2 linked regions of the Drosophila melanogaster genome follow. The protein of the gene in region 2 interacts with the protein of the main gene of each other region in a pairwise test. Each region holds a gene or a part of one and is shown on either strand. Other genes may lie near its edges.

The links.
Region 1: the proteins of cpo (region 2) and Mst98Ca interact in a two-hybrid assay, tested with the Drosophila melanogaster proteins (one large-scale study listed by BioGRID).

The regions. Positions count from the first base shown.
Region 1 is NT_033777.3:28,288,992-28,293,856, reverse strand, and holds Mst98Ca (Male-specific RNA 98Ca), read right to left. Parts: upstream 2,520-4,865; 5' UTR 2,399-2,519; coding exon 1,394-2,398; 3' UTR 1,201-1,393; downstream 1-1,200. Other genes in the region: Mst98Cb (Male-specific RNA 98Cb), read right to left, coding at 145-942.
Region 2 is NT_033777.3:17,917,175-17,923,218, forward strand, and holds the start of cpo (couch potato), read left to right. Parts: upstream 1-2,657; 5' UTR 2,658-4,295; intron 4,296-6,044. UniProt on the Drosophila melanogaster protein: May play a role in the development or function of the peripheral nervous system by regulating the processing of nervous system-specific transcripts.

The DNA of each region.
Region 1 (4,865 bases), about 10 Mb from region 2:
CAATGCACTTCTTTAATTTACAAAACTTGCAAAGTTAATTTGGACTGTCATATAATTGAGCGCGGATGTGGACTTCCATAACGCGGAGTTGTCACAAAATGTTTTTGGCAGACGTCAAGTAGATCTTTCCAGCTGTTTTACAGATCAGCATGGTCCGCAAGGACCGAAGCCACAAGGGCCAGGTCCGCAGGGTCCACACGGTCCGCATGGACCACAGCCTGGTCCGAAGGGTCCGCAGGGTCCACAGGGTCCGCAAGGACCGCATCCTGGTCCCCAAGGTCCGCAGGGTCCGCAAGGTCCGCATCCGGGTCCACAGGGTCCACATGGTCCGCATCTGCCCTCAGCCACTGGGTATTGGTTTGTGGAGAAGCAGGGCAGCGGACAGCAGGGTCCTCCAGGAGCACATGGTCCAATGGGGCAGGGTGGGCACGCTGCACTGGGCTTGTAGTTGATGGGTCCATTTGGATAGCAGCAGTACTCCCTCGGCGGCGGAATGTCGATGGTTTGGGGCTTCGGCTGGCAGAGGATCGACTGACACACCTCACGTGGTTCGCAGACGCGCTTGGGATAGCACACCACATAGGGGTCGGGGATCATCGAGGGGTAGTAGATTACTCTGGGTTCTCGCACCATCTGCGACACCCAAATCAGCTTGGGCACCTTGATCACCCGCGTGGCATCAACGACCTTTGGAATGGTGATCTGCCTGCATCGGTTAACCACCATTGGCTCCGGCACAATCTTCTCCGTGAACACAACGCGTTTCTTGCAGATCATGCGTGGTGGTTGCTGCACGGTGATGCATTTGGGGAAGGGTGGTGGAATACGTGGAGCACATTGTGGCAAGGCCTCCAATTGGGCGGCATTGTAGCACTTGGGTGAGCACTCGAAGGGACCGCAGCAGGGATCGCATGGACTACAAGGACCGCACGGAGAGCACATTTTAAGTTTCGACTAGAATAAACCGAAAGAGTAAAAAGTTAATTTTTGTTTTTTGTTTCTTATAAAATTTGATCAGAGAAATTTAGAAGTGTATCGAAGCGAAACCGGATTCAAAATGCGAGCTAAGCCTGAGTAACGAACATAGGTAGATTGACAAGCAGAGGCAAGGCCTACTATTTGACAAAAATTTGGTAGAAAATTTTATCTGGATAGAAACCATTGCATAACCTGTCAAAAGAAATTGAAAAAACCTTATATATGCATAAATCCGATTTTTATTTACAGCCAATGAGTCGTCCATGCGTTGACAAAGTATAGAGAACTGTAGACTTTTTTGGTGGTGTTTGAGCAGAACGGCGAGAATACACTATGGCAATCTGTATTGGTGATAGACAAGTTGGTCCACTGGGCACCGGTTTCTGACAACAATCCAGGCAGCACAACGATGATGTTAACAGGGGCCGCTGGGTCCACAAGGCACTTGAGGACCGCAAGGACCAACTGGGCCGCAGTGGGTATTCCAGGGAGTTGGGGCGCACGGGTAGCAGGGGCCGCACTCGGGTGACTCGTACGGACACGGGGGCGAACAGGGTCCGCAGGGTCCGCAAGGACCGCAAGGACTATTGCCGAGCGGTCCACATGGCCCGCATGGAGCACAGGGTCCACACGGAGCCGGGACAAACGGACCCGACGGCATTGTGAGGCCGCAGGGCCCGCAATTGGGCACGGCGCACGGTCCACCCGGACCGCATCTCGGCCCACAGGGTCCGCACGGGCCGGGTCCGCAGGGACCACATCGCGGACCGCAGGGTCCGCATCCTGGACCGCAAGGTCCACAGGGTCCGCACCTACCCTCGGCAACGGGATACTGGTTTGTGGAGAAGCAGGGCAGCGGACAGCAGGGTCCTCCAGGAGCACATGGTCCAATGGGGCAGGGTGGGCACGCTGCACTGGGCTTGTAGTTGATGGGTCCATTTGGATAGCAGCAGTACTCCCTTGGCGGCGGAATGTCGATGGTCTGTGGCTTCGGCTGGCACAGGATCGACTGACACACCTCCCGGGGTTCGCAGACGCGCTTGGGATAGCACACCACATAGGGATCGGGGATCATCGAGGGGTAGTAGATTACTCTGGGTTCTCGCACCATCTGCGACACCCAAATCAGCTTGGGCACCTTGATCACCCGCGTGGCATCAACGACCTTTGGAATGGTAATCTGTCTGCATCGGTTAACCACCATTGGCTCCGGCACAATCTTCTCCGTGAACACCACGCGTTTCTTGCAGATCATGCGTGGTGGTTGCTGCACGGTGATGCATTTGGGGAAGGGAGGTGGAATACGTGGAGCACATTGTGGCAAGGCCTCCAATTGGGCGGCATTATAGCACTTGGGTGAGCACTCGAAGGGACCGCAGCAGGGATCGCATGGACTACAAGGACCGCACGGAGAGCACATGTTTTCGACTTAAGTTTTCCAAAATAAAATTTCTAGAAAAATATTATACTTTATTTTTGTTACAAATTTTTACTGTTCAATTTGGAAGTTATTCGGAGCGAAACAGGAAACTGAATGAGATATAACAGTAGGACGACAGCATTGCACAATAATCCAGGCCCACTTCGATCGAAATTTGAAAAACCGAGCTCTACGATCACACCCTAGTGTAGTGTTTTTGTTGTGCAGGTAAGGTGAAAATCGCTTTGAGCTTTGAATGGAAATATATGCTTACAATACATAAATCTGGTGGATTCGATTGCTTAACCGATTGCAATGAAAAATCACAGAACGCTGCTTGAATGGAATGCATTTTGCAAACCGGATTCCATCTTCACATGACGTATGCGCGACGTATCTGCATATATTTCAACAATATGGCATCTGCCGTTGAGTGGGTTTAAGCCTTTAATATGCTAGCGCCTTTATGTAGGCAGGCCGCTTTTTTCGGACCGGCCGAAAGCCAACTTGGAAAAAACCTACAACGAATTACAGAAAAACGTCGGAAAACACTCTGGCAGCGCCCGGCCTATTGAATATACATATATGGGTTTGTTTTTGCCCCAGTGCCTGGACATGTCAGCGCCGAAAAAAAAGCGTTTTGGTCGGTATGGTAGTTGGTAGTTGGATGGCATATCCTGAAAGCTTTAGTAGGTGGGGGGGGGGGGGGGTTGCTGGGTGGATGGATGGGCGTTGCAATCGGCGCTTTGTGCATGCCACAGCCATGACGACACTGAACAATTGCGCATTCACAAAAAACTACAACAAAGAGCGTGGTCACAGCGGACCATTGATGTTGACAAAGGCTTTTGCATGCGATTCAGGTGAATTCTAAAATATTTGCTCCATTTTAAATGCCAAAAGCGAGGGGCAAACGCTACAATATGTGCTCGGAATAAGAAACGTTCTGGTATTCAAACAATAAATATAATACGTTTTAATATTTTCTTAATAACACACGACTTTTATTAATTCTACAAAATTTCATTTCCTCGAATTGATAGTCACATTAGTGATAGCTAAGAAATCAAGCGATATTTTAGATGGCCTTTGCTCTTCAGAATTAGTTGCTGTCCAATAGTTCCGGTTATTTAAATTAGGAAATTTAATCAAGTTGCTTCCAGGAAGTTGAGATACAATAAATGTCTAAATTAAACCAATTTAAAGAGCAACATTGGTTCAATCGATTTGAACTCGGGCGTTTCCCAAGAAAACCGTCCACTTCTTTGGCCTGCAATAACACGCCGTTGGCTTATGGTCGTAATCATGCAAGAAAAACATCAACTTCTTGGACTCGAGTTGCCCTGGAGCGCTTATCGAGCGACAGGCTGATGGTGCCCGACCAAGATTCTAGCCACAGACAAAGCGCCTGCTAATCCCACAATTTCCAGAGCCCAAAGAGCCGGCCTAATCACAGACCCACCACTTGGCATCACAGTGCCACCGAAATTGTCAGCTAATAATGCAAACAATAACAGGCAACAGTCCGAAGAAATGGCGCACATTTCGCATAATTATGGACGGGGCCTTCCCCGAAACCCGGTCGAGATGGCCCGGCTAAGGCGGCGCAATTAGCGGACTTAGTTCGGGACTAGGCCCAAAACAATGTTGGGCTGGGAAATGGGAAAATAAGCACAGATTGCCCATAAATTGGCACCCACAATGCCTGCTGGAGTCAAGATAGAGGCGCATTTGTCGAATAATTTAGGCACTGTGTAGAAATGTTTGTAGCTCAATGAAAGGTTTTATTTTTAAGTTGTAGGTATTCCATTTATTTTCATAAATAACTTTAATAGTTCCCAATAAACTGATGGACCTCCTGAAACACACACACATTTAGTTCTTATTGTTTGCTCACATTCTTTGCGGTACTTTGACGTTGATAAGTATTCTGATTTATTGACAAACAAACTGTGAGTGTGCGGGTATTGCGGCGGCCTTTATTTAAATTTATATATTTATTTATGGGCTGCGCACAGCATATATATATTCACAGACATATACGCTGATGGATCGTTGTTCTATCGGAGTCGGGACTTAACCTACTGAAGCGCAGACGTGAATAATATTATTGTATTTTAAATTATTAGCGGTTCGAAATCTTAACTCCATTTATATACATAAATATACATACAAGTTAAATGAGAAATTTAATGACATAACACTTTTAATAAGGTCTGAGAATCAATTCAAATATTTGCCATAATTTTAAATGGGTTAATCATATTTTTCGGCTCCCGCTTTTTTACGCATTTGCTTCGATGCATTTCCGTTTGATTTCAATAATTTTAACTTCCGGCACAAACCGGAAATGACAAATAAAACGCAATGCCATTCAAATACACTGAGAAATAAGAAGTAGCATTTTTTTTAACTTGAATAATTGGTAATATATATTTATACTCTCAAAATTGATGTTAAATGTACG
Region 2 (6,044 bases):
AATCGCTCTTTATTGCATACTTCGAGGGGCAGGGAAATGATCCCTTCTCAGCGAATATTATTGAAAAGATTTGGCAGCTCAATCGAGCTTAAAATTGCAATAAACTTGAATAGGTTAACAAGCTGCGAAATACAGAAATATATTATAGTTTTTATGCTAGAAATCATTATATATACTTATACTTAGTTGTAATTTCATTTATATTTATTTCTTCTAAAACTTTAGCAATTTCCTTTAAAATGATTTCGCTTGCTTAGATCTGCTTTAAATCCATTTGAGCCAAATCTATTTTTGGATGCCCAACTTTTGACCTTAACACATCACGTGCTTGTCAAAAATATCCAACACTCAAAGCCCACAAAAATTTGTACACTTCTGTTGCATATTTCTCAATTGGCTTGAGTTGTCGTCGCTGTTATCGCTTTTATCTGTCAGCTTATCGCAGCCATCATGAGATTTGGCGTAAATTGTCACAGCCACTCCAGGCCAGCCTTCCTTCACCAGTGCATTTCCTTTACTTTGGATGCCTTTGGCAGAGTTACAGAGAAATAAATAAGTAATATTACTAATATGCATACGAATCAATGCATAGTTATTAAATATATCGAACAAATATCTGCAGTATCTTATTTGTAGTTTAACTATCAAAGTCCCATATAACAATAGTTTTAGTTTGGGAATTGATCTAGGTACAAATTAAAAATATTTTTATTATAATACTAAAAACCATTTAATTAATAGAATATTACTTTAGTTTGTCTTAATTCAACTACAAATTTGTTCTCAGCGTATGACAGCTGAAAACAGAAAGATAAACGCGTTTCTGGCTGTCGAAACTCTTATTCCATTGCTGATAGCCTGCTCACGTGCAGTGTCTTCGGCTCGCAACACTCGCACACCCGCAACACTCGCACAGTCGCCGGCACACACACACACTGGCACACGAAGGGGAGCGATTGGATTTCCGGCGGAGATGAGAGCAAGCTACGTGGGCGGGGGGAGTGGCAGGTGGAGTCTGGGAGTGCCAGGAGCTGTATTTGGCCGCCAGCATTTTCCGATGTTGCCGCTTACTTTGTAAGTGTGCGTGTGTGTGCGTTTGTGTGTGTGTCTGGGCGGCTGACGTCATTGAGCTTTTTATTGATTTTCATTTTAACCAAAAAAAAAAAAGAAAAAACAAGAAGAAAACATACTTGGGCTAGGACGCAGGGCAGGAAGGCCAACAGATGTCATCCAAGAAAAGTCGAAATGCGCAATTAAAGAGAGAGAGAGAGAGACTGCAAAGGGGGCTTTCTCGAAGGAAGTTTTTGACAAGAATTTCTTGGGGCCAGCGAATGCTGTGTTGTAAGGTAATTACAAGGAAGAGATGCTTTACAATTTCTAAGAGTTAACTTTAGTTGATTTCAAGCTGCACGTGAATAAAAGCACTTCAAATACAAGTGAAAGCCCACAAACGTATTATGGTGTAATTTAATTTATTGTTTGCAAGCTCAACTGCGTAATCAGGCTGTTTATATAAGTGTACACATATAAACCTGATGTATTTTGATTTTTCTATTATTGTTTGTCAAACAATCGTTATGGCTGATTTTGTTATTTTTGTTGCCTGGTGAAAGCTATGGAAATTAGGTCTATTTGCACAGGCAATTAAAGACTGCCTGGTTTTGGATGAGCACAAATTTAAATTTAAGTTGAATTATAACATATTTTAAAAAAAAATTATAATTACTTAAGGCATTGGTTATCATAACAAAATATTGTGCTACATCACAAACAAAATGCATATTTGTTCGAAAGGGTGTTTTTAAAAAACTTCTACCTCTGTCATATAAATTTAATTAAAAAAAAGTATGTGATTTAATTGAAATTAAAAAAAAATTCTTTAAATTTATTTTACAACAATGATTTTAATACGTATTTATTTTAATAGAAAAATATACATATTTTTGAAAATCTACATCTACAACTAAAGCGACACCTGCCGGCGCGCCACTACAATTCAATTGTGCGGCGAATTAGAAACTTCGCTGTATTAGCCAAGGCAACCACCGGAAATAGTCATAAATTTAGCCGATTCAGCTACCATTGTACCAAAGTACGCCTTTCGTCTTCTCTAAAAACCTGCGCAGAATTAATACGCTTTCTATCTTTCGCTCTTCTACGGGATATGTCAAAGTGACAAGACCATTAAGGCAGACAATGTGAAAGCTATATAAGCGACAAGAGAGCGAAAAACAAACAGATAAAGATAAAGCCACCCCCAAAAAGCCGCCCCTTGCCGTAAAACACGGACCCCCACCAAATGGAAGACAGCCAAACAACCCCCGAAAAAGCAAGGAAAAAATTCAGGAAAAATACCTGAATGAGATTATGATGGGCCTTGAACGAAATGCAAGGGCCAGGGAAAATTGAGAATTTTATTTCAGGCGGGGGGTTAATATTAAGGAGATGCACCACCCACAACAAGCACTTAATAACAAATGTGTGCGTGTGTGTGGGCGCTCTCGCAGGACTTCCGTTCGCTCTTTTCTACGCTCTCTTGGATGCTTTTTGGATCTGCGCGCAGCAATCTCAACGAGATGGGGCGAAAATCTCTAATAAGGATGCCCGATGATGAAAAATTCATGGCCTGGCATCGCACGCATCCTGCGCTGGCTCCTGAGTAAACGAAAACACTCCGACTCAGTCACACGCAGCGAACACAGAGGCCAGCGATATATATAGTGAAAACCCCGAAAAATATAGCCAAATTGAGACCAATATCTGAAATTGTGCGATAAATAAAACGCTGCATACCCCGCAGGGCGCAGCCAACTTATTCCGAAGCCAAATCGAGAAATTCTTCGAAACGCGAGTGCCACCAAAAATTTATTGTTTCGAATTCGCAGCCAGTGATTGTATAATTTCCATTGCTTTGCTATTTTTACGGGTGTGGGCCGTCCAACGGCAGCGGCAAAGAGGATATATCTATCTACATATATCTTCCAGGATATACGGATTAACCCAATCTGCGCCAGAGATAATTACCGAAAATCGACAAATTCCCGGGCATAAAAACTTAATTGACTTGAATAAATAATTTCCAACCCGAGTTGTTGTTGTTTGTTCGCCTACGGTTTTTTTCGGTGAAAGCGAATGCGGGCCCAAAGCGGAATCGGAAAAAGTTACTGAAATACAACGGCAGGAAAAAAAAACGAATACATAGAGAAACTGCCGCTGCCGTTGCCGCCTGTGAAAGCAAAGAGAAGGGGGTGGAGAAGGAGCGTGGGCAAAAAGAGAGCGAGAGGAAGAAAGCGCGGAGGAGGTCGCGGAGTTGGAGAAAGGGGGCTCGAGGAGTAAGAGAAAGCAGCCATTACTGCGAAAGAGAGCCAGAGTCGGAAGAGAAAGTCCAAGAGACAACATCGCAATTTTGTGGAAGACATTCACAGTGGATGGAAAATTTATAAACAAAAGTTAAGCCCTTAAGAGAATGCTGACAAAATAAAAAAAAAACGCACGATAAATATATTTTAGAAATGTAACTTAAAAGAAAAGACTCATATCAACACATATCATTCTATAGTCTATAGAAAATATTAAATAACTAAATATACAACAACAAAAAAAGCTGAGACAAGCAGCTAAATAATTCCAGCAATTACCTAAAAACCAAAACGATATTTTATTGTCTTAAAAGAATAGAAACCAATGCGATAACCATACATATCATGTAAATCGTTTAATGCCAAAAGGTGAAATATGAAAAGTATATTAAATTAGCACATTTAAAAGAAATGTAATTCAAGAAATTAAAAAAATCTACGAATGGAAACGTAAACATATCATGTAAAACGCCTAAAAAGCTTGCTGAATCCCTAATCAAGCTTTTTTATCTTATCAACAAAATAAAAAACAAAACAAATGAACTAGCCTAAGGAGAGTTGTGCAAATTATCGCATACATATCAAAGCTCTTGCAAAGAGCAAATATAAATATTAAATTTACAATTATCTAAGATCTAGTTACCTTAGAAAATCCAAAAGAACAGTAATTTTTGTTAGAAGTTTTACATTAGTTGTCTCGAATATAACAAGAGAGAGATATATACATACAACAATATTGTCACATATCATTGAGGAAGCCTCAGCAAAAGTCTAAAACTATAACGACTAGAAAACATATCAATTAAATTAGACTGCGTGTTTATGAATGCTACGCGAAAATATTAATTACTTTATCAAGCGGACCAATTGCAAATGACGAGAAGACTTCATTGAATTCCAGACGACGGATTGAAAAATAACTAAAGTTCTTAAAAGGTAAGTTTTCACAATAATGAAACCATTAACTGAAAATGGTGGGCTTCTGTGGAATAAACGTAAAGGATTGTGTCATCTGAAACGATATATTAATATTAATTAGAAACAGAATATAACATTTTGCTATGATGTTTCCGTGCATTAGTCAACGGTAACGTTGTGGTGAAAATTGGCCTACACTAATTGACATTCTCTCTTTACGTCAAAGGGCTCTTAATTAGAAAATCAAATCCGAGAATGCTTTTGTGGTTTTGGCGAGCCGCCTCCCCACCAGATGTATTTCCATACGCCGAAAGCAATCATAAACTTTTAGCCCTAAGCGTGTGAGCTTAGGTAATCCACAAAACAGCCCAAAAATAAAACCGTTCGGGACCCCAACATTTTATGCGCCAATGGGTCTGGAGGGTATTCGTGTTTCGCTAAACCATAATGAGCCTGTCGAAGTGAAATTTGTTGCTGCAGCGCCTAGGATCATGCCACAAACATCTGCAAGCACCAACATACGGGACAAAATCAATAGGCGGCCATGTGTGTGTGTGCATGTGTGCGTGTGTAGGTAAACAGCTAGAAAAATCAACCGACACACACGCAAGAGGCGGTGGAAAAGCGAGTGTGTGTGGAAGGAGTGAGAGAGAGAGAGAGGGGATTTTCTCCTTCGTCTCCACGCGCGCTATTAAAATTTTCATTTTTATGATTATCGCTTGTGAAAATCCGCAACAATTGTGCCGGTTCACACGATGCAAAAGGGACTAAGCACACGACGCACAGGCAGGCAGCAGGACACCTACGATGATGAAGCCGCGAGCCAGGGAATACAGTGCGTATGCGTGTTATTTCTCCGCGACTGAGCAAATGTTTAACTTTGGGCATAAAATTAAATTTAATTTTCAATTATCGCGGCTGGCAACGGTTTGGTTTTGGCCTTGCAGGAACAACTGCACCCCACGGCGGAATAACGAAGCGATTAAAAAAAATGCTCCAACTGGCCGAGAACTGGAGTTTCAGTTGGCTCACCTTTTGGCCATTAGAGCTGTGGCCACTTTAAGGCCGCTCTCGCTGCAGCTGGCTCACTTTGGGGCATCAAAAATTCATCTTGCCGGCATCCAGAGCTCTCCATCAGCCAGCGGCCAGTAGCATCTGCTGACTTTTCGCCATTTCGCGCGCACTTTCCCATTTTCCCCGCACTCACTTTTTGCCATTTTCTTCTTGGCCTGGCCTTCCATCTCCACTGGCCAGTTCTGGCCGAATCCCCCTTGCGCTGCACACTTTCGGGCGCCAGCACCTAATGAGTGCAAAAATGAGCTTCGGGAAATGCTGAACGGCAGCAGCAACAAAGTGGCGCTGGGAACATGAAAGGACACTCTCCCAGTAGCCTTGGATATCATAATTACACTGAGCTCATCCTCAGTCAACTATGTAATAAATACGCCCTTTAAAGTGGCTTTTTATGAAAGGAGGTGTTAATGAAAGGGAGAAGCTCGCCATTTGTGCAGCAATTCATTTGGCTTAAAGTTCACATTCGTATGTATTAAATAAAAATATATTGGAGATTCAATAGCATTTCATATTTTACATGTAAGTTCTTCAACTTTCGTCTTAAAAACTCTGCAGCTACGAAAATGTAATGACCCAAATATGCAAGCTTTTTTATGTAGATTCATTCCAATGAAAATACTCAGTTTAAAGTTACTTTACTTCCGTTGCGAAATGCGTCGCCTTCTTTTGGCCAACTTAAAGTAGCCAGGGCAG